Oreochromis niloticus: one gene and its partners. The protein of the gene in region 1 purifies or fractionates together with the protein of each later gene. This does not show direct contact. Links are inferred from orthologs where the notes say so. Each region holds a gene or a part of one and is shown in the gene's direction. Other genes may lie near its edges.

Region 1 (8,069 bases):
AAAATGTACTGCAGGAGGAGTTGTTTCAAAAACTTCATTTCAAAGGTTGAAACTCACAGTTTAAATATATTTAACTGCAGTTTTTCCTTATGAGATGTGAAGGAAGAGCATCACGATCAGGTAAAGTTAGTCCAGCACTATCTGCTGTATCTGCGCTTCGTTTTAAAGTGGGCCTATTCTGCTTTATCTTTTTCTGCTTTCTGTGGTGGATGGGTCACATTAAACATGGTCACCGTTTTATTAAGCCTTTTCAGTGTTTGGCTCCAACATCACAAGCGTGGAGATCAGACTTACCGAGGTCAGCTCGGAGGAGGCAACCCAGATGACATCCACCAGCAGGAGTATCACCACCCCCAGAGCCATCCGTCTCCGCTGGGCTGCAGAGCTACCCTGAGAGCTCATCCGGTTCATGATGAACACCCACTCCATCGGGACGGTGAGAGGGGAAATTCAGAAACTGCCTCGCTGATGACGACATCAGAAGACAGGCAGTGAGCTCCGAGGTTGACCAACTATATACTTCCCAACTATTTACCTTAGTTTTTTTTCGGCTTCAAAGCTGATGAACCTGTTCTAAACCCGTTTTAAAAGCTGCTATTCAACATTTTAATCACTAAAAACATCTAAAAAGTTATGAAACCACACCAAGAAATACTTCACTCTATCAACCAAAACCTGAATTTTGAACATGGCTAATCTAGTGTGGAGGTTTTTAATCTGGAAGTGGAAGTTAGACAGACAATGCAAGACATAAATAAACCTTCAGAAAACTTTCGTCCAAACAATAAGTGTGTTAGTGTCTGTAAGTTTGCCTGCAGTCAAATGTTTAAAGGAGTAATGTTATATTTTTACCACTTCAACACCCACCTGGTCGCCGCCAATACGTAAACTGAATTTTAGCCAGTCTCTTTGAAGGTCAGCTCAGATTCTTTGTTTCAGCCAGTTTAAGTTGAGACTCGCAGTTAAACACCTGCAAAAAAAATAAAAAATAAAAAAAAATTAAAAAAAATTAGAAGCCAGGAGAGTTACTCTACTGTGCTGTTTTTTAAAAGTATATCTACACCGAATGACAAATTAAAGGAAAAACAACAAATGTCCATGAGTACACATTTAACTCTATCCCCTATATTTGATGACCTCTGTTCCCTTAATGATGAGTTTGACAAGTGAGTGTATTTAAATAAAGACGAGGTTTGACGACCATCAGAATAGTTTGTGTAGCTGCACAGGCAGAGACCAGCCTCACTAACTTTTGATTCAAACCCAGTTATTTTGTTCTGTAAGCAAGTCTGAAATATGACACAAACCAATCAGTTCAGAAAAGAGCTTTAAGGGTTGCTTCTAGTCAACTTTCAAAGGGTAAAGAGTTAAACGCTGCACAGAGAGCAGACCATGGATCTGTGTGAAGAAAAGGAAAATATAAACCTGAGGCTACAGTCCCACGCACTCTGACACAAATCCTCTTCCTGATGAGGATGTGAGCGTTGCGTTAACCAGCCCAAAGAACACCTCACAGAAAAATGCTGCGGTGGAAATAAAGGCTGCAGATCTGAATGCTCATCGCTGCCTCTGTTAACTCCAGAACACTGAGCTTTGGGTGTTTGTGAGGGGTCTGCAGACACTGAGCTTTAACAATTCACTACTGTCTTTGTGCTAACATGCAGTCATCTTACTTTACAGTAATCATGTCAAAATTAAAATGCTTAACTTTTTTCTAATTTAAAGACTTTGTGAAATATCATTATTCTTAGTTTATATTATTTACTTATTGTTCCATATGTGGGTTACTGAGTGGTGGTGTGGGGAAACAAATCATACGACAGACAAATACCAGCCGACTACCCACTTTTAAAATGAGGGATAACAAATACAAATTAAGAGAAAATTAAATTTTTGAAAAATATGAAATGTTGCGGTGTATCCGTTAAACTTTGGAGTTAAACTGTGGAAGTGTTGTCCAGCAGACTGTAACTTAAATACTTAGAGTTCACCTGCAGCTGTATGTGACATGAAAGCTTTACTTTCATGCTTTACTTTTCAAGCTTTACTTTTCATTACTTCTTTGATTGTTTTTGTTGTTGCTGTGAGTGTGTTTTAGTCTGAGGTTAGAGATGTAGTTGATCTAAGTTTACTTATTTGTTGTCTCTGAAACTCTCTTTTTAACCTACCACGTAACCCGAGGTGCACCTTCTTAGAAACGCAACTACACATCAGGTCAATGCAGTACACAACTACTGTGATCGGCCTGTCCAGAGCCATTGATTACTCTTGTGCATTTCCAGCCACTTAACAATCATTGTCTCAATATAAAGACTAATAATCATAGTATCAATATAAGGACTCGCAAATCTCAGCAAATTCCTGGAGGGAGACTGCTCAATCTACTGGAAGATATCAGGGAATGTTCAAAGAGTTGGAAAAACTTGAAGGACATATATTTAGCCTGAAGAAAAAAAAAAAGAAAAAAAAAAAACCTGTCCACAACAAAGAGCTGGACCCAGAAAAGAAAAAGATCCCAGCATTTTGTTTGTTCCTATCGACCAGCAGGACATGTACAACACCAGGACACGACCACATGGTAATTAACACGTAATCCACTGGTACAAGCACAAATGCCGACAATGACGTTGGCCAATTACACAGGTTACATCATAGGTGCTACAAACACTCCCTGCAGATATCTAACTCAAGCCTTACTAGCAACACTTTTTCTGATCTAACTACTAATTTTGACCTCAGAGTTATTTTCTTTCACATATTCTATTCTTTTTACTGAGCAACTCTACTTTGATTAACCTGAAGTGATCAAATTGAAGGAAACTTGACTTAAGTTTCTGAAGACACTTTAAGTCTCATCTGAGAGGCAACTTAAGTTCAGAGAGCTGAGAGGAAGGCCTGTGTATTTACCCACTAGAGGGGCTGTCACCTTGGAGGACGTTGTTGACCCATCCTGACTTTATGAGACTCATTAGGTCACACTGGACAAGTTGTGAATGAAGAATCTCTTGCTTTAAAGGTAGCTGGTGGACAGGCCACCAACGCTACTTTGTGATGGTCTCCTTTACTGAACAGATAGATTTAAGATTACTGAGAACCTACACAGACTTTGTTTAATATTCTACCTGTTGTTGTCCACCATATGTGAATTTCACCACATATAGGATCAATAAAATCCACCCTGTGTTGAAACGAGGCGAACCATATGTTATAACAGAACTTTTTACTGCCATCGAAACACCAAACGGAGGGATAGATTTCGGTAAAATGGTGCTCGTGGCTCCATTTTCAGATAGTAGGAGACTATTTGTAAATACAATTTGTTCTGCTTGGTTTTAAACTGTCAAAAGGCATGTCCCGAACTTAAAAAACACACTTCAGAAAACTTTTAAACGACTACTAATGAAAGACATGCGTACACCTTCACTTACCCGAGCTTTAAATCCAACTATCTTCCAGCTAGCTACGCGCAGTACATCCAGAGAGCGTTGCAGTAACTCTTTAAGGTACGAACAGGTAAGCTGCTGAAAACACGACCTCCTCAAAGCTAGGCACTCACGGCTTTTAAGCTAGCTAATTTATTACCTGTTAAATTCTGACAGTCTGGAGGTCGACAGGTGTCCCGACGCTTTACTTTATAACTTATCGTGACATCTACTCCAGTTCATTGCCCACAGCTCAGGCTGAAGTCCACTTACTCAGTGTACCGCCGTCGCAGGTGTGCTGCGTTTAGCTGCTTGTTTACCTATTAGCATTCTAAGCGCTAACTGGCTTGATTGAAAAATGAAAAAGAAACAATAGTAAAATAAGATATTTTTACCCGAATGTGAGAGTGCGTCATTTAGTTTGCGCCATTATTTAAGCATCATCCCATACGCTCCGGAAATCCTGACAAAAATCACAGTTTTTAGCGATAAAAGTGTCACCAGCCCAGCGGTTGTAAACATTAGCTCAGCCTCCTGTCAGGTGACATCACTTACAGTGCAAGGCATTCTGGGGTATGAAGTCTTAAGGGGGAAAATGTTTGTTTTTTCATTTATAAACTCATACATTTTCTTGGTGTTTTCACCTTTGAAAATGACTTTTTGGAAATTAAATTGAGCAAATTAATTCAATTTTACCTCAGGCTGTGGAGAACACATCATTTACAAACACAAATAAAGAATAGGAGCTTCAAAGACGTTTTGCTCATTTTCTTTGATTTTATATGGGTCAGTAATGTTTTAGTATTATCTGAAGTCTATTGAGTGATTCCCTTACAGTTTGTAATTTTTATCCATAAAAAGTAATTTGCTTTGTACTTTAATTTCATTATACTTTTGCTTTTATCACAATATTGTTACTAGTTAATATTTTAAAAGCAATATTTTAATTAGTTTTTAGCTGATTTGGACTACAAAGCTCTGGTGGTGCTCCGTAGTCTCTGCTGCTCAGCCACAGGTTACAAACGCGAGAAACCATTTGTGTCATTGCACTATACAAATACAATCATTATACATACTTCTTACTAATTTATACATACAGCTATATTATACTTAATATTGTCTTATTTATATTGAATTACGTTGTAAATATTTTTTTGTTTCTTGTTTGTGTTTCTTGTTTGTGTTCTCATTCTTGTTGGCTTTTAATTCCGATTCATCTCATCTGTGTAAATGTGTCGTAAATGAAAATCCTTGAATCCTTGAATCCTTGAATCTTTGAGTCCTTCAATGCAAATTTTATCTGAACAGCAGGTTTCTGTTGTTGTTGTAGTGGCGCAGATGTCTCCTTTAGTGGCCGCTGTTATTTCTGCTCGTGCTTATTCACAACAGTCGAAGAAGAAGTTTGACGCCGCTTCTTTCGGTCAAACATGGCTGCGTCCATTATGAGCTAGAAGAGTTTTAGTGCTTTAGTTTAAGACGCCTCCTGCGATTATAAGTTCTTGACACTCGGGATATTTAATTGTTGTTGGAAGAACAAATTAAAGACAGGGTTAAACGGTAAGTAGCTTTTGCACATTTGTTTGCATAAAGGAGTTAAAGCAGCTCCCGCCGTTAGCACAAGGCTAACAGGAGCGTCTTATTAAAGGCTAATAAACAGCGTGTAGCACTCTGGTATAATAACACAGATAACATCCTTATTATTCGTGTGTTTACAGATCTTTGGAGCATGTTATCACCAGTGTGAGGGCCAAAACATGGACTTCTCTTCACAGGAGGGGGACTCTGAGGCCCCCGCTGTCATCGATATGACCACCAGCGAGAAGGTCCGTTTTTGTGATCGCTGATAAACATTTTAGGGGAAGATTTATGGGTTTTATGCTTTAAAAACTGGATGAAATCACAATAGTTGGGATTATAAAAATGGCGACCATTTTCAACGGCAATAGACCACTTTTTTGCCAGAAAAGCTTTTTACAAAAACGGCTTTAAAAGTCTTACATTTACCTTGCTGAAACCTGCAGCAACAAGTACATATACAGTAGGTTTGTCCTAGTGTTGAGCAGCCAGATGAGCCACAAATACCAACATATTAAATTAGAAAATCTCTCAGCTGTGCCTTTATTAAATCAACTGTAATGTAATGGGGGTCTGCTTTCTCCTTCCAGGTTGTGGAGCTCCTGAATCAGGCTGCTCTGATACCCACAGATGAGAAGCTGAATGTGCTCAAACAGGTTTGTAGCTTAGACTTTTTAACTCTGTGATACAAAAGACTGAGCACAACCCTAACCACAGGCTGTGGAGAAAGGTGGAGAATCGAAAGATGCTCAGATTGTCACTGGGAGTGACCAGAAAGGACAAGGTTAGAAATGAGTTCGTCAGAGAGAGGGACAGCTCAGGTTAATCAGTTTGGAGACAAATAGAAGCAAGGCTGAAATGATTTGGACATTTGCAGAGGAACAATAGTGGATATACAGGACAAAAGATGTTGAAGATGGAGCTGCCAGGCAGGAGAAAAAATGCCAAATAGCATAAGTAAAATAAAATAAGATAAAATAAATAAAATAAAATAAAACATGTTAAAACAAATTGAGTCAACCCCTTAAAGATTGCCAAAAGCTTCAGCAAATAAATGTGTTTTAAGAAGAGTTTTAAACTCAGAAAGAGAAGAGGCCTGCCCAACGTGCAAGGGCAGATCCTTCCACAACTTTGCAGCCGCTACAGCAAAAGCACAATCACCTCTAAATTTATACTTAGTTTTTGGTACCTTAAGGAGGTGCTGATTGGCGGACCTAAGGGAATGGGCAGGTGTATATGGTTGTAGTAGCTCCAAGAGGTAGGAGGGGCCAGGCCATTAAGATATTTAGAAACAAATAAAAGAACTTTTAAAACGATCCTAAAAGGTACAGGTAAATGTACAGGTAGGATGTTGTAAAGAGATGTGACAGAGTAGGATGCAGGAATAGGATGAGCTGGAGGATCCCTAAAAGGTGCAGCTGAAGGCAGTTTGAGTTATTGTAGATGATGACTTGGACTTGCAGGCTTAAACAAACTTTTTACTGTCAGCATATCTTTTTGGATCTACCATCAAAAAGCTTTTTTTTAACCTACACGAGGCTGCTGGCAGAAAGTCACATGTGTGATATTTTTGCTAAACATATATGATTATAAACTCTAAAGTGGAGCCATTCTGGATTTCCTGATTTTCTGTCCCATACATGTTTTCCAGCAATGGATATTCATATTAAACATGTACAAAATTTCCACTAATGAGGTTGTGTATGTGCAGGTAATCCCTGTGAGCCAGAAGGCTTCAGACGGCTATAAACCAGGAGTGTCAAACTTGTTTTAGAGCCCAGTTTGTTTTTAAGAGTACCAGACCAGTAAAACTATTGTCCTGCAACCTACATGAAAAAAATGTTCCTGTTTATTTCACTGTAAACAAGTTTAACTATACACTACTAAGGTGCCAGAGCATGGTGTTGAAGTCTCACCCATATCTGCAGCTGAGATAGTCTATTTATGAGGGGCAGCCAATCAGAAGAAAACTGACTTAAAGGGGGAGGGGCTAAAACAACTTCAGCTTCAGAGAGAGGAGGAACTTAGGGGCTGCACAATGGATTGAGTATAAGACAAAAAAGGATTATTTTAACTGTGAATTGTGCAAAGCTAGTCTAGCCGAGTCCAATATAGAGTTGGAAATGATCAGAAGATCTCAGTGCAACCGTGTAGACTGGTGTCTAATCCACTTACCCAGGAATGCACAAGAACATTGATTCAGTACATGTATTTAACCTTCAGGTCCAGGAACTCATCATCAACAAGGATCCATCTCTTCTCGACAATTTTTTGGATGTAAGTAAGCAAGTATTCGGCTCTCATAACCAGCTATAGTTTCATTTAAATTTGCCTCATTTTTGTTACTTTTTTTTTTGTCCTGTAGGAGATAATCGCTTTCCAGACAGACAAGTCCATCGAAGTGAAAAAGTTTGTGATCGGCTTCATCGAGGAGGCATGGTGAGTTTTCAGACCTGCTGTTGTTTTGTTTGTTTGTTTTTTAAGTCAGGGTCAGCATTTGAGATTTTTTTACTGTTTTATTATCTGCTTTCAGTAAAAGAGACAACGAGCTCCTCCTCAGACTCATCGCCAACCTGAACATGTTGCTGAAGGATGAAAGTGTGAATGTGGTGAAGAAAGCCATCCTCACCCTCACCCAGCTGTACAAAGTCACACTTCAGGTACAAAGAGTCAGATATACCGGCTTCATTTCTACCTTTTCTTTCTTTATGCGATCCGTTTCTGTTCTTCACTTCGTCTTCACTTCCTTTATCTTTTCTCGTCTCAGTGGTTGGTGCGCTCCAAAGCTGTGTCAGAAATGCAGGAGGCGTGCTGGGATCTCGTCACGCAGATGAAAGGGGATGTTCTGGCCTTGCTGGACTCTGAGAACGACGGCGTTCGCACTCATGCCATCAAGTTTACCGAATCTTTAATCATCACTCTTTCACCGCGGACAGCTGACTCTGACGTCCCCAAGCGACAGGAAGGCGACATCAGTCTGGACAAAGTTCCCACAGATCACTCGTACATTCACTACGGTACAGATACCAGACTCATATGATGTGTTGAGGTGGTGAAGTTCACCTTTTAAGA
Region 2 (8,106 bases), on another chromosome or scaffold:
GCTCTGCACAAGAGCACCACTCTTCTTCTAGCGACGTGTCGGCTACTGATGCGTAAGACACCGAGCGCCCTCTGCTGGTGGAACTTATATTATAGACATTAACAGTAGTTTTCCCCAAAAGAAAGTGACTTGAAGCATAAAAATAAAATGGGAGGCTGCACTTCCATGTATTCATCTATATCATAGTGCCACACATGCCCAAAACTTAATTTATCACATTAAATAAATGTGAATGGCTAGAAAAATCAAAATCAAAATATGAAACTCCAAAATAAAGTTTATTTAAAGCCACTGAGGTTACAGTGATCCTGAAATATATGTGCATGTGCTTTGCAGTACATTAGGCAGGTCAGTTCTTTATTAACGAGGCCACATATTACTGAATAAAGTGAATAATATATGGATCCACATCCATAAGCACATTTCTCCATTTGTTTTAAGTTTTTAAACCAGGAAATATTTTATTCTACACAATGAAACCAGAACCTGCAAGCTTTTTGTTTTGAAAGAACCCTTTAATCTGAACGAATCCCTCCTGCCTCCCATCATTCCAGGACCTGAAGACGTTTCACAACATCAGCTTCTCTCTGGTGTTTTCAGGAAATAAATGAGGACACTGAGCTCGAGCGCTGCTCCACCAGCTACAGGTTTAATATCAGATCAACAACAGTAGAAAAACAGAGGCAGAGACTACCAGACAAAAAGAAGAGTAGGAAATCCAACATCATCCAACAGGCTCTTTAAAATAATTCCTCTGTACAATATTTACACACACACACACACACACACACACACACACACACACACAGAGCACGTTTACAGCTACACACTGAGGAGGAGGAGCCTGTCACTCAGTCAGTACAAGGAAGCATACTGAATACTGCCCTCTGATTGGCCGGCCCTCCTCCATCCAGTGTTCTCTTTATTTCACGTGAAGCTGAGACGCATCCAGGTAACGGTGTGATGTCATCCGGAGCTGAGCCCATCCTTCTGAAAGAGGTCAGAGGTCACCCAGTCGTCCCTGCAGGTACGTCACTGTGAGCTCTGCCCACCTGCATCCCAGCAGCACCTGTTGGCCAACGGGACCGCCCAGAACCAGCAAAACCCAAAGGGACCAGGATCCGGTCCAGCGAGGGTCGGAGCAGTTGGCTGGACGTCCAGGCACACATATCAAACATACACAGAACACCACTGAACTGATGTCACAGAAACAGAAATGCTTCTTCACGTGATCCAGTCACATTACTCGGAGAGGCGTAGAGGCTGACCAATCAGGTGTGCCTGTAGAAAGTGAGAGGAGATCACGGGTCAGTAGATTTTACCAGGGAATGGTTTGAAATTAAAACAAAGAAGAAGAAGGTGAGGAGGAGGAGGAGGAGGAGGAGGCTCATGTCCTGTTCAGTAACACTCTGTTTTTTTACACTGAGATTCACTGATCTGACCAGTAGGTGAAGCTGCTGCACTGAGACACCTGAAGTAGGGCAGGTGAATTTAAGTACAGGTGGAGAGGAGCAGCACAGAAGTCCAAGCATGTTCACGGATGTGATGAGCACCTGCGCATTACTCACGCATAACTGCTTTTTATTAATTGTGAGTTTTTGGTGTGTTTAAAAAAAAAGTAGCAAGAAAGAGCAAAAACAAAAAACTAAAACACTTCCTGTGTGTGTGTGTGTGTGTGTGTGTGTGTGTGTGTGTGTGTGTGTGTCTTACCGTTCTCACCTCCGTGCGGGCGGGTACAAGGACGGGGCGGACGCTTGCTGACTGGCGACGATGGAGGAGGATGAGAGGCCTGAAACAAAGACCAGATGTCAGAACTGAAACAGGCAGATTCGCACACGCCACTCATTAAAAGCAGCTGCAGGCTCAGTGGGGTGAAGTGGGCGGGCTCAGAGGATCCCTTTCGAGCTATGAATCATGGGAGGAGAGGTCAGCTTGGTTTGGGGTAACCTTCAGCACCAGGTATTACCCCGTCCTCCTCTTCTACAAACGCTTTCAGCGAGTGTATGAACACACTGCAGGGCCGACATCATCTACCTGCATTTATACCTGAAACAGGTCTATGTATGACATCACCATAGCTGTGTGCCATGGCTGTGTGGGTGGTCACTAAACTCTGAGCAGGTTGTCCTCCAGTCTGAGAACACCTGAGCTGAAGAGGATCTAAAGGCAGCAGGCGAGGCTCACCTGAGGGGTAGGACAGGTCGTACAGAGGGTATCCCAGGTGGTGATGGGACTGCATGATGTGCTGCGAGGGCGAGGAGCGTGGCCGGTCGCCCTCCCTTTCTCTCTCCCACTCTCGGTCATGTGTCTTGCTGTCCTGGATGGACGGCGACTTGCTTTTGTACTGGCGACAGGTGTATAGAGCCAAAAATGTTAGAATTGTGTCAATGTCCCAATATTTATGGACCTGACTGTATATCATCCATCCAAGTGCAAGTAAGTAGTGGTTCCTTGTCTGTGATTACAGTCTCAGAAAGCATATTTTATTAGAAAAGCCAACCAGAGTCAGTTAAGTGGACAATTTGAATCCCTTCACAGGTCACCTACAATGCTATTTTGGTCATCTGCTGTGTGTACTCTTTGTTATTCTCTTATTGTTGTACGATATAAACTTGTCGCATCCCTCAATCTAAAAACACACAGTTGCTGTTCATTGCACAACAGAGTGGATCATAACCTAAGCCTCTTTATAAACCACAACCTGCACGTTCACAAGTTGATCCTGTTTCGTGTGTTTTTTTTAATCATATTTGCGATGAAATATACATATATTTTTAATGTTAATGTACTCTGTTCTCTGGCAGGTAATAAAACTCTATTCAACTAGTTTTAAGAGGGAAAAAGGTCCCATTTCAAATTTTCTCGCCAGTGCAGTTTTTTTATTCTTAGTTTGCATTTGTAAAAGAACTTCATTTGTCATTAGAATAACAGTAACACAGCCTTGAAACCACTTGTGAGTCGACTGTACAAATCAAGCCTCTAAAAGGATACGTGTAAATAATTATGAACAGTTCTGCTGAACATGTTGAATAAAAGCTGATTTTTTTTAATTTCAGTTGCATCTTGTTTTATTTAAAAGCAACTTTGACAGTGTACAGAGGCAAACTTATGATTTCATATGAACTTTTACTTGTACTTTAATTAGCTTCTGTACTTAAAATGGGTATTTTTCACAGAAGAGGTTTAACAAGTTCATAGAAGTTATTACAAGCAGCTTAACTAGAATGTTCTTTCTTTCTTTCTTTCTTTCTGTCTTTAGTTTTGGCTACCTACAAATGACCTTGATACAATTGAGGAGAGGTAAAGGAGCAAAGCCCAACTGTGGGCCACTGAAACAAAAGACCTTGGAACAATTTTAGTAAATGTTTTTGGCATCTTGCTCATGTCTGATATTATCAACGTGCAGGTGCAGAGTACAAGGTTGCTGTGTTGTTGTTAAGGTTACAGAAATCTGGTGGAGGTTAGTGAAAGTGCACTTTATTCCCATAACTGCTCCAGATCAGACTGGGTTTTGTGATGGTCTGCACTAATCTTTGAGTCTGATTATGAGCTCTTTTTAACCTCTTACAGACTTATGTAACACTGGAACCAGAATTATAAAAGAAAAAAGGTGTCAATAAACACTGCAACACTTCACTGAAAATGACAAGATGCCAACAAATGACTTCCTCCAGAGTTTCTTTAATGAACTGACAACCCACCAGCCACAGCATTAAAACCACTGGCAGGTAAAGCGTATAAAATGAATCATCTTGTTTTAATAAAACGCTCTGCTACAAAACCTCAGGTCTTGGAATTTAAGGGGACACTAACCACCCACCTAAATATTGCAACACCAGCAGGGGTTCCCCCAGCAGGACAATGCATCTACCACACAAGGAACACAGCAAGGAGACCCAGGTGCTGACCCAGCTTCCAAACATCTCAAATCTCAAGCTGAACAAGCTTGCACGAGACCCCAGGGATCAACTCCAGTCTACCGAGGCAACCCACAGGACCTTTGTGATTAGAAAAAAACAAAAGACAACCCCAGAGATATCATGTCAATTCCACTGATGACTCCGAGCTGTTTTGCAGCACAATATTAAGCAGGTGATTTAATGTTAAAGCTATCAGTTCATATGCCCTACCAAAGTTCAAGAGGTTGGTCATCTCATAAATAGGAGTACAGCAGCATAGTCCCTAAGTGGTAATTCGTTATATTTATACAAAGGAAAAGAGTGGGAGGCTGCGGCTCCAAGTTTAATTTTTTTTTTTTTGTGGTGTGTCACGGTGTCCGGATTCATAGGCTGCATCCTCCCGAGGCCGCATTTGGAGGCCGATTACGACACGATATAAAATACCAGAGGAAAGAATACAAGATCTGCTTTAATGAATCTTGGGTCACAATGATAAAGCATATGAAGCTGTTTTTAAGAAAACAATGAGACACACAAGGTGTTTCCTTTCAATTAATTTGAATATTTTCAAAGTAAAGCTCCAATAACCCTGGAATGTTATTGTTTTTATATTGTCTAACATTTGTATAAACGTGTTTTTATGAACATTTTTAATAATTATTTCATTGTTTTTATTTGTTTTTGTAGTAGTTATTAGTAGTCAGGTTATTATTAGAGGTCTTCACAACTGTTTTTAAGTCTTGCCTTTCTTGATAAATAAAGTTTAAAGGCATGCCTCTGAACTGAAGAGTCATATTTCAGTTATGTTCAAACAAACAATTCTTACATTAATTTATAAGAACAAATGTAGTTCACATCCATCTGAAATTATAGTACTATACTATTTTTTAATTATTATTTTATTTTTGTCCTATATGCTGTGATTCCATCGCAGCAATCACTGAGAGCACTGTGGTTTTATATGTTGGCGTATTTTATTTTATTTTTAATGACATAATTCACGTTTGCACGTATAAAACATATTCTGTCTGCTATAATATTGATAAATATCCCTGTAATTTTTAAATAAGCCTCTCTTTAAATTGTTGGCCACAGTAACACGTGATTTTCCCTTCAGCGGCCTCCTCTTTGATGTGGAGCACGTGAACGGACTGAGGCCCTCGAGCACTGTCATTAGCTGGGCACACGTTCACTAAATTATGAGTAATTAGCTGTTAGCACGCCTCATAAATATGACCTTTTATTGCAGCCAGCGGTCGTTGTTGTGACATTTCTTTTAGGCTGTCTGTCCACATCATGGCGTTTTCCCTGGTGAGTTGAAACGGCATTAAATGGGTGAAATTAGTCAGTTTTGCGCCACGTCTAACGTTATTATTTGAACGTATACCGCCTCATTTGGCCCATTAGTTCCTCCCCGGAACAAAACAAACAAACAAACAAAAATTCACTTTGCAGCATGGTGCACAAGCTTGACCTTTAGCTTTTAGCATGAGTGCTGGGTTAATTGTGTCCCTCTCACGGCCTCCTTCTGCAGAGAAACGAAGCCCGCAGGCCTGAGAGCCCGGACACCGATTCTCCGGCACTGTCCACCTGCAGCAACGCAGACATCTTCCGCAGGATGAACACTATGCTGGGCAACGCTCTGGATTTCACCGGTGTGTGCACCACACCCAACACCAAGGGAAAACCAAACCTGATGTCCGGTAAACCCTCACTCGTCATTCACTCTGCAAGAGTTAAACATTGGTGGGCTTGAGTGCAAAGGCGAGAAACCATTAGTATCCGACACTACTGCAGCCTAAACTTATTTAAAACGAGGCTGTAGCCATGAGGGTTGCAAGGGTTTTAGAAATGCTCAAATAGCTTAATACGTAGCAAAGTCCGCGCAAGTCTGTAGTACTTTTATTAAGGTCTAATAGTCAAACTGCATTTTCTGCTAACTTTATTTGCCTACACATCATGTGCTCATTGTGGTCACTTGCAGTCAGGGAAACGTGAAGGCCTTGATTTTGGGCCCCAGATGGTATCAACAGCTGTTTTCACTGTCTGATAAAAATGTTTTAATCTTGTAGACTACAGTTTCCCAAATGGGTTTCCTTTCCAGTGTTTTCATCTTAAATGCAGTTTTTGACCAGGAAACAGCCTGAGATGATATTTATAACAAAGCAGGAAATCCTTGTGCAAATCCTAGAAAAGGAAGTGTTTTAGCTATTCAAGCAGAATTTTCTTTCAGTAAACCTAAAGATTGGGCTATATTAGTAATACAGGTACAGTAGTATTGAGGGATATTACATAAGCAATACTTCAACAATTTGAGTCCCAAAGTGCTTGAATCTCTCCCAGTATTTCTCAGTTGTGTGAATTTTGATGCTTTTAGTTTCATGTACAGTGAAGTGTTAGAAAGCAGGTCACATGACCTCTAACCTCGGTGGGAGCTTCTCCTGCTGCTGTGGTTTGCATTTTCCTTAAAACCACAAAACCATGAAGGAACATGCATGCAGTGTGCAAAACCAATGTGGTACTCTGTAAGATGAGAGGCTGCATTGCCTATAATGGAAATCCCCCTTTGACTTTTTTAAAGCTGTTGAACCTCCTTCACCTTGTCTTTTTATTCAGGTGCCAGCAGCTGATTCATACTGCATTGCTGGTCTGCAGCATTGCAGTAGTTCTAAGTGTCTTTTTTTTTTTTTTAAACCACAGGAGAGGTATTTGCCAAGATTTTGGCTCAGCTCAGTGCTGGAGTCCTTTCTTTCAGTTAGTTTGCTTAAGGCATGTCTGCTCTTGTGACTACTGGTCTTATTTTTAGATGACAATACAATCCTTAGTTTGACATGAGCAGAGCATAAATGTTGCATAGCAAAGGTAAGCTGGATCTTGATGCACAGTGAGCTGAAGTTCTTCTTTGGTCTCTGTCCCATCCACTCCAGCTTAGTCTTGCTGAATCAGGGGTGTAACTGGCAGCTGGAAGCTTTCCAGGCCTGGAGAGGGAAGGGAGGAGCTGGTGGTGCAAATCACTCAGTCCTCAACATCTGATCAGTCAGCTGCTTCAGCTACAGCGAGACACTGCTTGCCCGTTTGTTCAGTGTTGGTGTGCTAAAATAAATTCACAAGCCAGTCTGAAACTGAAATACCTTGAGCATCCTCAAGTCTACAATACTTTAGTTGAAGTCTGCTGAGTCATTTGCTCCCATGCTGCCTCCCGCCATGCTTCTGTAGCTCTGCCCCTCTCTCCCCCCCCTCCCTCCTGCCTCTGTCAGCTTGCTCGGGGAAACAAGGCTAGACACAGAGTAAGCAGCAGTAACGGCAGCAGCTGTCTTCACACTGACTCGGAGACGTGCTGTGCCTACCAGAGGGGAGTACTTCTATCAACAAGCCAATAGCTCCAACAGGAATTTTTCATTACACAGTTGTTAGGCAAGGAAGCGGGGAGGTGGGGGAAGCTGATGTCATTAGCAGGGGTGTGCGAGTGCATCAGCAGCCATGTCACATGCTGCTAGGTGGGTCAGTGATGCGGACGGAGATGCATGGCAGTTGCACCAGGCACAGAGGCAGCAGGTTAGCTCCGCCGTCAGCCAGGGTAGGGGAGATGTGTTTATTGAGGGAGTTTATTGCGGTTTCTTTACCAAAAGGGGTTTTGACAAGTCTTGCTTTGATCTTTTCTGTATAATGATGCCGATGGGAGGTTGGAAAACGTTCTTTATGGCTGTCTAACACTTATCTCCTTTCGCTCTTGCTTAATCTGTGAACTGGATTTCGGCAGAGTCGGACCTGGCTGCAGTGGGCAGCAGGAGGATGCTTTTCCCAAACTGCGATGCCATGCCTGGCTCTCAGGAGATGTCGTTGTCCAGGGACCCGTCGGGTGTCACAGACCTGGGCCTGGGTCTTCAGTCTCTCCGTCTGTCTGGCTGGGACAAACCTTGGAGCAGCCAGGAGGCAGATACACACACCTCCCCATCTCACGTTCAAACCAGCTCACCCTCCAGTAAGTGCCAGACCTTTAACTGTGTGTTATAGCATTCTGTTGTTTTGGAGGTACCAGTTTCCCCAAAAGTTTTTTCTGGCTCTTACTTTTGAAGAGAAAATTGGAATGGATATAGTAAGGTTGTTTTTTATTGTGTAGATCTTATTAATATCAAAATAAGATGGTTGATTAACAGCAGTCGGTGTGGGAACAGCCTGTAGCGTCACTACGGAGGATGATGTGGCA
Region 3 (7,792 bases), on another chromosome or scaffold:
AGGGATTAGCTATAGAGCTTTTTAACACAGGAGTGTTAGAGATTTCTCTGCTTTTGAAGCCAGACTCATTTTTGGCCATTAGAGGAATGTTGGCTTCGGTTTTTAGCCCCTGAAGTTGTCTGTGAGGAATATTAGGTGTATTTGTAGTTAGCTCCTCTGTGTGTTTTCAGATTAGCACACAGTCAGAGGTATTATCATTGTGTACCTGCATGCACCATTCTTGAAGCCTGAAATAAACTATTAAAGCATAAAACAAAGTAAAGTGTGTAATAAAGAAAGACATTTTCATGTCAACAGCTGAGTGGGGAGACTTAGGGAAATGTATATAATTCTAACTACTTATTACGTCCACCAAGGTAAACAACATAGCTCGAAAACTTAAGAATGAATTCTGATAAAACTTTGTGGGGGTGTAGAGTGGGATCATGTTAGCAATCTGTTAAAATTAGGCTTATATCCACCAAGGTCTTTAAGGTCAACTTCATGATTTATTAGTCAGAAATAGACTAAAAGCCTTAAAACTTATAAGTTATTATTCTTATAAATGTGGTGTGTATTTTCAACATTGTCACTAGATAAATCCGAAGGTCAAAATGATAATAATGCTGTATAGAGCTATTTAAAACTATGGTTCTTATTGCTGCTGTTTATATTGACAGCATATGGACACGTAGGGAATGATATATGTGGGTACCTAAATATCACGTTACTTTGGACCTCTGACCTTATCTTCAAAGTCAAGAAAGCTCAAACATTTAAACAACAATCTCCTTACCTTTAAAGCTCTGCTTAAAATTGTACTGTTTTTATTTGTGGTACAATTTAAAAAGAACAAAGAAAACAATAAATATATACAAAATAAACTGTAAAATGCCGCCAAAGAGAGCGAGCTGCCTTGGTGGAGGTTTGCACTTCTTGTTAGTTTTTCCACTTGCATCAGTTTTGCAGCTCCCTGTTTATTTTATTAAATAATATGAGTCATTTAAAAAACTGAAATAATGCTTACTAAATAATTTGTTTAACAGAAGATGACTACTCCGTGCTATCAAACTTCCCCGAAGCAACCAAAGTGGATGAGGAATCTGATGAATTCCAGAACGTGGTGAAGCAATTCTACGAGACCATTCAGGAATATCACAGCAAAATCCGAATCATACAGGTGAAACGATGAGCTCTGTCTTTTTTGCAGCAGCTGACTGTGGCTTTAGTGATGACTACAATCATTTTTGTTTTGTTCGCAGGTTGAGAAGCTCATGAACAAGCTGTTGTACAATCAGTACAAGCTGAAGAAGGCCAGCGTACTGCAGCGTGCCACCTACCCGCAGATCGAGCGCATCCTGTACCACGGCACGAGCGAGAGCAGCGTCAAGGAGATATGCGTCCATGGCTTCAACAGAAGCTTCTGTGGAAAGAATGGTACGCTTTTCATGCTGGCTTTCTTTGTCTTGTTTACATCGGGTTTTGTCACATCTTCTGATGCTCTGTTTTTTTCCACGCAGCCACCGTCTACGGTCAGGGGGTCTATTTTGCTGTGAACTCGGCTCTATCTGTCCAGGATCAGTATTCCCCCCCAAACGCGGATGGATACAAGTTTATTTTTGTGTCCAAAGTTCTAACGGGAGACTACACCAAAGGTTGCCATTCGATGAAGACGGCCCCGCTGAAGGAGACGGGAGATATCCCCCTCAGATACGACAGCGTGACTGATAACATTACCAAGCCGTCGATGTTTGTCATTTTCAACGACACACAAGCTTTTCCAGAATATCTCATCACATGCCAGAGAATCCACCGCTGAGGAGAATGGATTAGACGCCGGCGATGACATTTGGAGAGAGCAGACTGCTGATGCTTTAATGTTTCTGCCTTCAGTTTAAAAAAGCGATTTTGGTTTATAAAGGGCTAAGGTGTAATGATTTGATCAGCCGTGATCAAACCGATGAAGTGCTTCTCTGTTGATCGTTTCCCCTCTTTGATTTCCTCACTACGTTGTAATGTCATTAAAAAGAATCAAGCGACTGAACCCAAGAAGCCAGTTTTCATTCAGTAACTTTAAACATGCCCTTTCAGCACATTTACAGCTCATTGTGCCGCGGCTTTACATAGACAGCACTTATTGCATGACATTTGACTTGTAATAGTCAATTTGGTACTCACTGGCATCACTCCCACACTCCAGTTAATATTAGCCTGTCTTTTCCTCTGTTAATGTCATTGTATTCCTATAAGTGGAAGACAACTTTTTGATTAGTAGCCTGCTGACAGTACTACATGCACTCCTGTCTGCCTGCTTCCATCAGTAAGAGGTTATTGTGAATGAGCCAGATCTGATAGTACAAGAATATGACCCCTATTTAGTTTTACGTTTCGGTTAAGTTATTTGAGTTTCTCCCTAAAGTTTTTTTTTTCTTTCTTTTGGCTATGCAAGAATAAAACTTAAGTGTGGTTAAAATAAGAACAAAAAAAGTAGAGGTGTGTAGTCCACTGCTCTTCACGTACAGGTGGGCGTGAGTTGAAAACACTTGAACACAAATTAAAGATAATTCTGTCTTGTTTTGAGTCTCGTGATCTCTGTTCTGTCTTAAAAATTTAAAGCCTTATATCCATCACAGCTGTTGCACACGTCACAGACTGTGTATTGTTGTTTTTCTGAACCAAAATGATCTGCGAGCTCCAGTATGTGTTGCACAACGTGATAGTTCTTGATTGTCTTCTCACTAGTTCTGCTGATCCTTGTTTAATGAAGTGAGCACAGACAGCCTGATTTTAATTACAGTGCCTTCATTTTTCCAAGTGCTCTCATCACAAGTCCATCCATTCATCCATTCTCTTCTGCTTATCCTTCTTATCTGATCACAAGTCTTGGATTTTAATTAAGTCCTGGAAAGTTTGGGCCTTGGGTTTTTGCTGTGTTTAATTTAGATTGTCTTACAGTTACTACAAAAGTCTTTTGTTTTTAGCATCATGTTTGTTGTTTTTAATGAAGAATATTTCGTTTTAAGAGAGCTCCACTTCATTTATACGAAAAATAAAACTTTAAATGAGAAACCGTTTGATGGTCGTTTTACCCTATTTGTAGATCTTAGACCACTGTTGACCTATAACAAACACATCTGTAGTATCTGCACACATGTTGTCCAGTATGTGCTGATCTTATAACTTTACATGAAACATGAATGAAAAAGATGCTAAATGTATTTTGGAGATGGGTGTCGTAGCACACCTGTAACAGCAGTTCTGTAACAGCACAGCTGAGGATAAAGTTGGGTGGAGTCTGGCGATATTTATAAAAAAAAAAAAAAAGTTGCTTAAATGAGTGTTTACAGTATAATTCAAATCATTGAATTTAGGTCTTCCATGGCCACAGGTGTATAAAATCAAGCACCTAGACATGCACACTGCTTTGATTTGTGAAGGAATGGGTCCATTTCAGGAGCTCAGTGAATACCAGCATGGTACCGTCATAGGATGCCACCTGTGCAACCAGTCCAGTCTTGATATTTTCTCACTACTAAATATTCCACGGTTAGCTGTTAGTGGTATTAAAGCAAAGTGGAAGCGATTGGAAATGACAGTAGTTCAGCCTAAACTCAGCAACTTATAAACCCCGTGAAAAGCCTTCCCAGAAGACTTGAAGCTCTTATAGCTGCAAATTGTGGGCAGACCGATCATATTAAACTCTATGGATTAAGGGATACCACTCAAGTTCATGTGTTTGTAAAGGTAGACAAGCGAATACTTTTGGTAATATTTATTTTTATTTATTTATATATTTCCCTTTGTTTCCTTATATATTTTCTCATTAAGGTTTCAGCACACAATATCAACAAATCCTCATTATGTGATGTACCTCTAACACATGTGGGATCTACACATTCATCCACAAAACCTATTTTAACAAATGACTCACTTGGCGCACTCTGCTGGGATAAACCTGGCTTAATAAGTAAGAAATGTTTTCGAAGCTGTCTTTCACTGACAAGTGTGCACAAATGCTGTACACAAAATTGAGTAAGATAAATATGGAAAATTAAATGCCATTAAAATCTCATTAAAAAAAAATCAAATACAGAACACATTACAATCAGTAAAAGAATCAACAAAAAGCCTGATTAAACAAAAAAGATTTTAGCTATTTTTAAAGAGTCCACAGAGTCAGCTAAATAAATGTAATTGTAGTGGGACATTGTTACAAAGCCTTGGCGCCACAGACTGATAAGCTCTGCCCCCCTTTCACTTCATTTTTTTAAATATCTGTACACACACAAAATAACTCTGAGACAGCAGCTGCTATCAAAATGCTAAATATAGGTGGCGCTAATGTGCCTTGGAGTGGTTGGCTAAAAAAAAAAAAAAACACGAAGAAGAAGACCAACGCAGCCACAACAACGACAGCTAACCTTGCTATCGGTTAGCTAGCTTAAGTTGGTATCACACAAAATATGTCACGCTCACTGTGAACAAGGGAGGAAACAATAAAGCTGCAAACTCAGATAACGTGACGGACATAGGTACGTCCACGCGTTACATTCACTGCTTGTGAAAACATTTGAAAAATTGTAGCCTGTTACTATGCCATGCCAGCTACAAATGGGAACGTTAGCGTGCTGCTAAGGCAGCTAACTTAACCGGCTTTTCCCATACATTTGCTATTCGAAGCTAACTAAAATGAAGCTGAGACTAACAACACGAGTGGATATCGCTGGTTAAGTTAAACCAGTTATCAGAATAAATTCTAATAATTGATACACACAGACAAAATGTAGCGCTGGCATAAGCTAGCTAGCATTTGATCGTTTTGAAGCCTATTTAAGTGTACACTGACGTAATTTATAAAACGGCGCTCGGATTGTCTGTGCAGTTTTTGTTTAACGCAGATACACGCATACCTGTGTACCGATTGTTTTAGTGGTGAGGTGATGTCAGAGGTCTTGACGTGAGTGTTTTCACCTGTTAGATGCTGAGGGCAGCCTGCCACCATGTATGCCGTGTACAGACAAGCCCACACACCGACCTCAGTGGAGTTTTCTGTCTACTGCAACTTTATATCCAGTAAGGAGAAGAACCTGGTCGTAGCTGGAACATCTCAACTGTTTGTTTACAGGATCATTCATGATGTGGAGGTAACTTTAAATCTAAGGTTCACCTGTTTTTTTGTGCCTTTTTTTTTTAAAACACAAGCATAAAAGGGCTTTTTGATATATGCCACATTTGTCCTATTTCAGAGTACTTCAAAGGCTGACAAGTCATCTGGTATGTCAAAGAAAGCATCTCATTCAAATACACATTCTACTGTTGGTAAAAAATGTTTTTGGTTTTTTTTGCTGAGTCTCGACTTTTCTTGCGCAGATTCCAAATCTCGTAAAGAGAAGCTGGAGCAGGTGGCTTCCTTTTCTCTCTTTGGGAACATCATGTCTATGGCTAGTGTACAACTTGTTGGAGCCAGCAGAGATGCACTCCTTTTGAGTTTCAAAGATGCAAAGGTATTATAGAGCAAGCAGTGTGCTGCTTAAATAAACCATGCTTTTAACCCCTAGAATTGTTTCTCAGTGACCCTTGCCTGTGTTTTGTCTCTCACCAGCTGTCTGTGGTAGAGTATGATCCTGGGACACATGACCTCAAGACACTGTCTCTTCATTACTTTGAGGAGCCAGAGCTCAGAGTATGTAGCAACAAAAATAAACCTGAGTTTATGTTCATGTGTAAAAGTGACTCAACTGTGAATATAACTGTTCTTGTATTTTCAGGATGGCTTTGTACAGAATGTACATATTCCCGTTGTGCGTGTAGATCCAGAGAATCGCTGTGCTGTAATGCTCGTTTATGGCACCAAACTCGTGGTGCTGCCATTCCGAAAGGACACGCTAACGGATGAACAAGAGAGCGGTGTTGGAGAAGGGTAAGTTATACATCTAATTATTAAAGTTGATTTGTTACGCTCAGTTCCAGCTCAGTTGTTTTGATTTTTTTTACTCTACTAGAGTAGCTTTGCATGATTCAGTTAAAAAAAGGGCACCTTCCTTTTAAGCTAACTTTCCTTATCAGCCTTTTAACTTTTCATTCACAGGTATAGCTTGTACTTAAGTTCATTATTCTAGACTGACTGCTAAATACAATGCATCTAGTACTATAACAGTATTCTTGTGCCTCTCAAAAAGCTTTTTTTCATAATAATATTTAAATAAAAAAGTCACCATTTATGTATTCTATGTTCATTACAGTGAAGTGAATTATTTAAAGCCTTTTTTGTTTTATGGCGTATAACTCCAATAAATCGAGTATCTGAAATCATTAGATTATTTGCTAAGATCAATCAAAAGACAGAAATGAAACTTCTGAGAAGCATGTCCATTTGTACACTCAGTGCATGGCCTTTATCACAAATTCCTGCATAAGTGCGGGGCAGCATAGAGGTGATCAAAGCCCAGGCTGCTTTCACATTGACCTTCAGCTTGCCTCCATTTTTAGTATTTCTCAACTGATAAAATCCATAAATTCTCCATGAAATTCAGTTTGGCTGAGCTTGCCAATTAAGGGCAGTAACTTTGTCTGCAAACTACTCAGCCAAAGGTTTGGCACTGTGGGTGGGTCCTACTGGAAAAGGATCAGCATCTCCATAAAGCTTGTCAGCAGGTGGAAAGTTGAAGTGCATTAAAATCTGCGGGTAGACAGTTACGTTGACACTGGACTTGATAAAACACAGCGGACCAACAGCCAAGAACACTGGCAGGTCACATGGCACCCCAAATTGTCACAACTGTGGAAATGTCACACTGGGCTTGACACACCTTGGATTCTGTGCCTCTGCACTCTTCCTCCTGACTCTAGAAGTTTGATTTCCAAATGAAAGGGAAATTTTACTTTCACCTGAGAAGAGGACAGTTGGACCAATGAGCAACAGTGCAGTTACTTACAACGTAACATGACTACAACTAACCACACATCAGGTGGACACAGCCCACAGTTACTGTGATTAGCTGTTCACGGCTGTCCATCCCTTCTTTGCAGTTTCAGCTACTTTCTCACAACTGTTAGCAAACATTGTACAAGAGTCAATAATCATAAATGAGTAAGATAAAACAAACTGTTAAAAATAACCATAAAAATCACAACATCAATATAAGGAGTCACAATCAGCAGATTCCTGGAGAGAAATTGTACAAAGAAGTGGAAAAACTTTAAGGACAAATATTTTTGCCTCTGGAAAAAAACTAAACTAACCACAACAGAGAGCGAAGACTTTGTATTTATTTCTATCATGACTGCACTGTAAATAAAACACCTGGACACGACCACATGATAATTAACAGTTAATGCACCAGCACGCAACCAGAAATAAGGGCAGAGACATCAGCCTCTTATGTTACGTAGTCAGCTCCTCAAACAGTGCAGAAGTCTAGCCCAGGTTAGCTGTTTCTAACGTCTTGGGTTCAGGAAGGCACTTGTGGCCCATTTCCTGAAGATGTCTGTGCGCAGCAGCTCTTGATGCTCTGACGCCAGCCTCAGGCCACTCCTCTCCCAAGTTCCTGAATCAGCTCATGACAGTCCTCTTGAGGCTCCGCTCATTCCTGATTCCCCCTCCCAGCCGACTTTTAGGGAATAGGCTTTGATACAGCGCTCTGAGAACAGCCAGCCTTTTCAGCAATGACACTCCTTCTCTGGAGGGTTTGTGGTTTTGTGTGAACTAGTATGGGATGCACTGTATTCATAGTATTTGAGTAGTAATTTAAATGAAATGGTTTGAATAATTTGAGATGATGTATTTCAGATTTTGATGAACTACAAGTCGTGA

Evidence for each region.
Region 2: the proteins of sympk (region 1) and cytoplasmic polyadenylation element-binding protein 1 purify together in Homo sapiens (affinity purification with mass spectrometry; 3 studies listed by BioGRID and IntAct, counting the BioPlex papers as one, with this or other methods). This does not show direct contact. The link is inferred for Oreochromis niloticus from reciprocal best matches to the Homo sapiens genes SYMPK and CPEB1.
Region 3: the proteins of sympk (region 1) and cpsf1 fractionate together in Homo sapiens (co-fractionation; 5 studies listed by BioGRID and IntAct, with this or other methods). This does not show direct contact. The link is inferred for Oreochromis niloticus from reciprocal best matches to the Homo sapiens genes SYMPK and CPSF1.

The regions. Positions count from the first base shown.
Region 1 is NC_031987.2:7,110,610-7,118,678, reverse strand, and holds the start of sympk (symplekin), read left to right. Parts: upstream 1-4,794; 5' UTR 4,795-4,979; intron 4,980-5,137; 5' UTR 5,138-5,176; coding exon 5,177-5,245; intron 5,246-5,587; coding exon 5,588-5,653; intron 5,654-7,220; coding exon 7,221-7,274; intron 7,275-7,362; coding exon 7,363-7,436; intron 7,437-7,530; coding exon 7,531-7,657; intron 7,658-7,764; coding exon 7,765-8,014; intron 8,015-8,069. Other genes in the region: solute carrier family 35 member F5, read right to left, coding at 1-8, 295-429. UniProt on the Homo sapiens protein: Scaffold protein that functions as a component of a multimolecular complex involved in histone mRNA 3'-end processing. Specific component of the tight junction (TJ) plaque, but might not be an exclusively junctional component. May have a house-keeping rule.
Region 2 is NC_031965.2:10,752,537-10,760,642, forward strand, and holds the start of cytoplasmic polyadenylation element-binding protein 1, read left to right. Parts: upstream 1-5,048; 5' UTR 5,049-5,195; coding exon 5,196-5,210; intron 5,211-5,433; coding exon 5,434-5,602; intron 5,603-7,300; exon of another isoform or gene 7,301-7,423; coding exon of another isoform or gene 7,424-7,454; intron 7,455-7,659; coding exon 7,660-7,881; intron 7,882-8,106. Other genes in the region: zinc finger protein 609, read right to left, coding at 1,272-1,281, 1,720-1,789, 2,185-2,422.
Region 3 is NC_031985.2:31,556,794-31,564,585, reverse strand, and holds the start of cpsf1 (cleavage and polyadenylation specificity factor subunit 1), read left to right. Parts: upstream 1-4,345; 5' UTR 4,346-4,511; intron 4,512-4,957; 5' UTR 4,958-4,979; coding exon 4,980-5,123; intron 5,124-5,225; coding exon 5,226-5,253; intron 5,254-5,349; coding exon 5,350-5,483; intron 5,484-5,581; coding exon 5,582-5,662; intron 5,663-5,747; coding exon 5,748-5,899; intron 5,900-7,792. UniProt on the Homo sapiens protein: Component of the cleavage and polyadenylation specificity factor (CPSF) complex that plays a key role in pre-mRNA 3'-end formation, recognizing the AAUAAA signal sequence and interacting with poly(A) polymerase and other factors to bring about cleavage and poly(A) addition.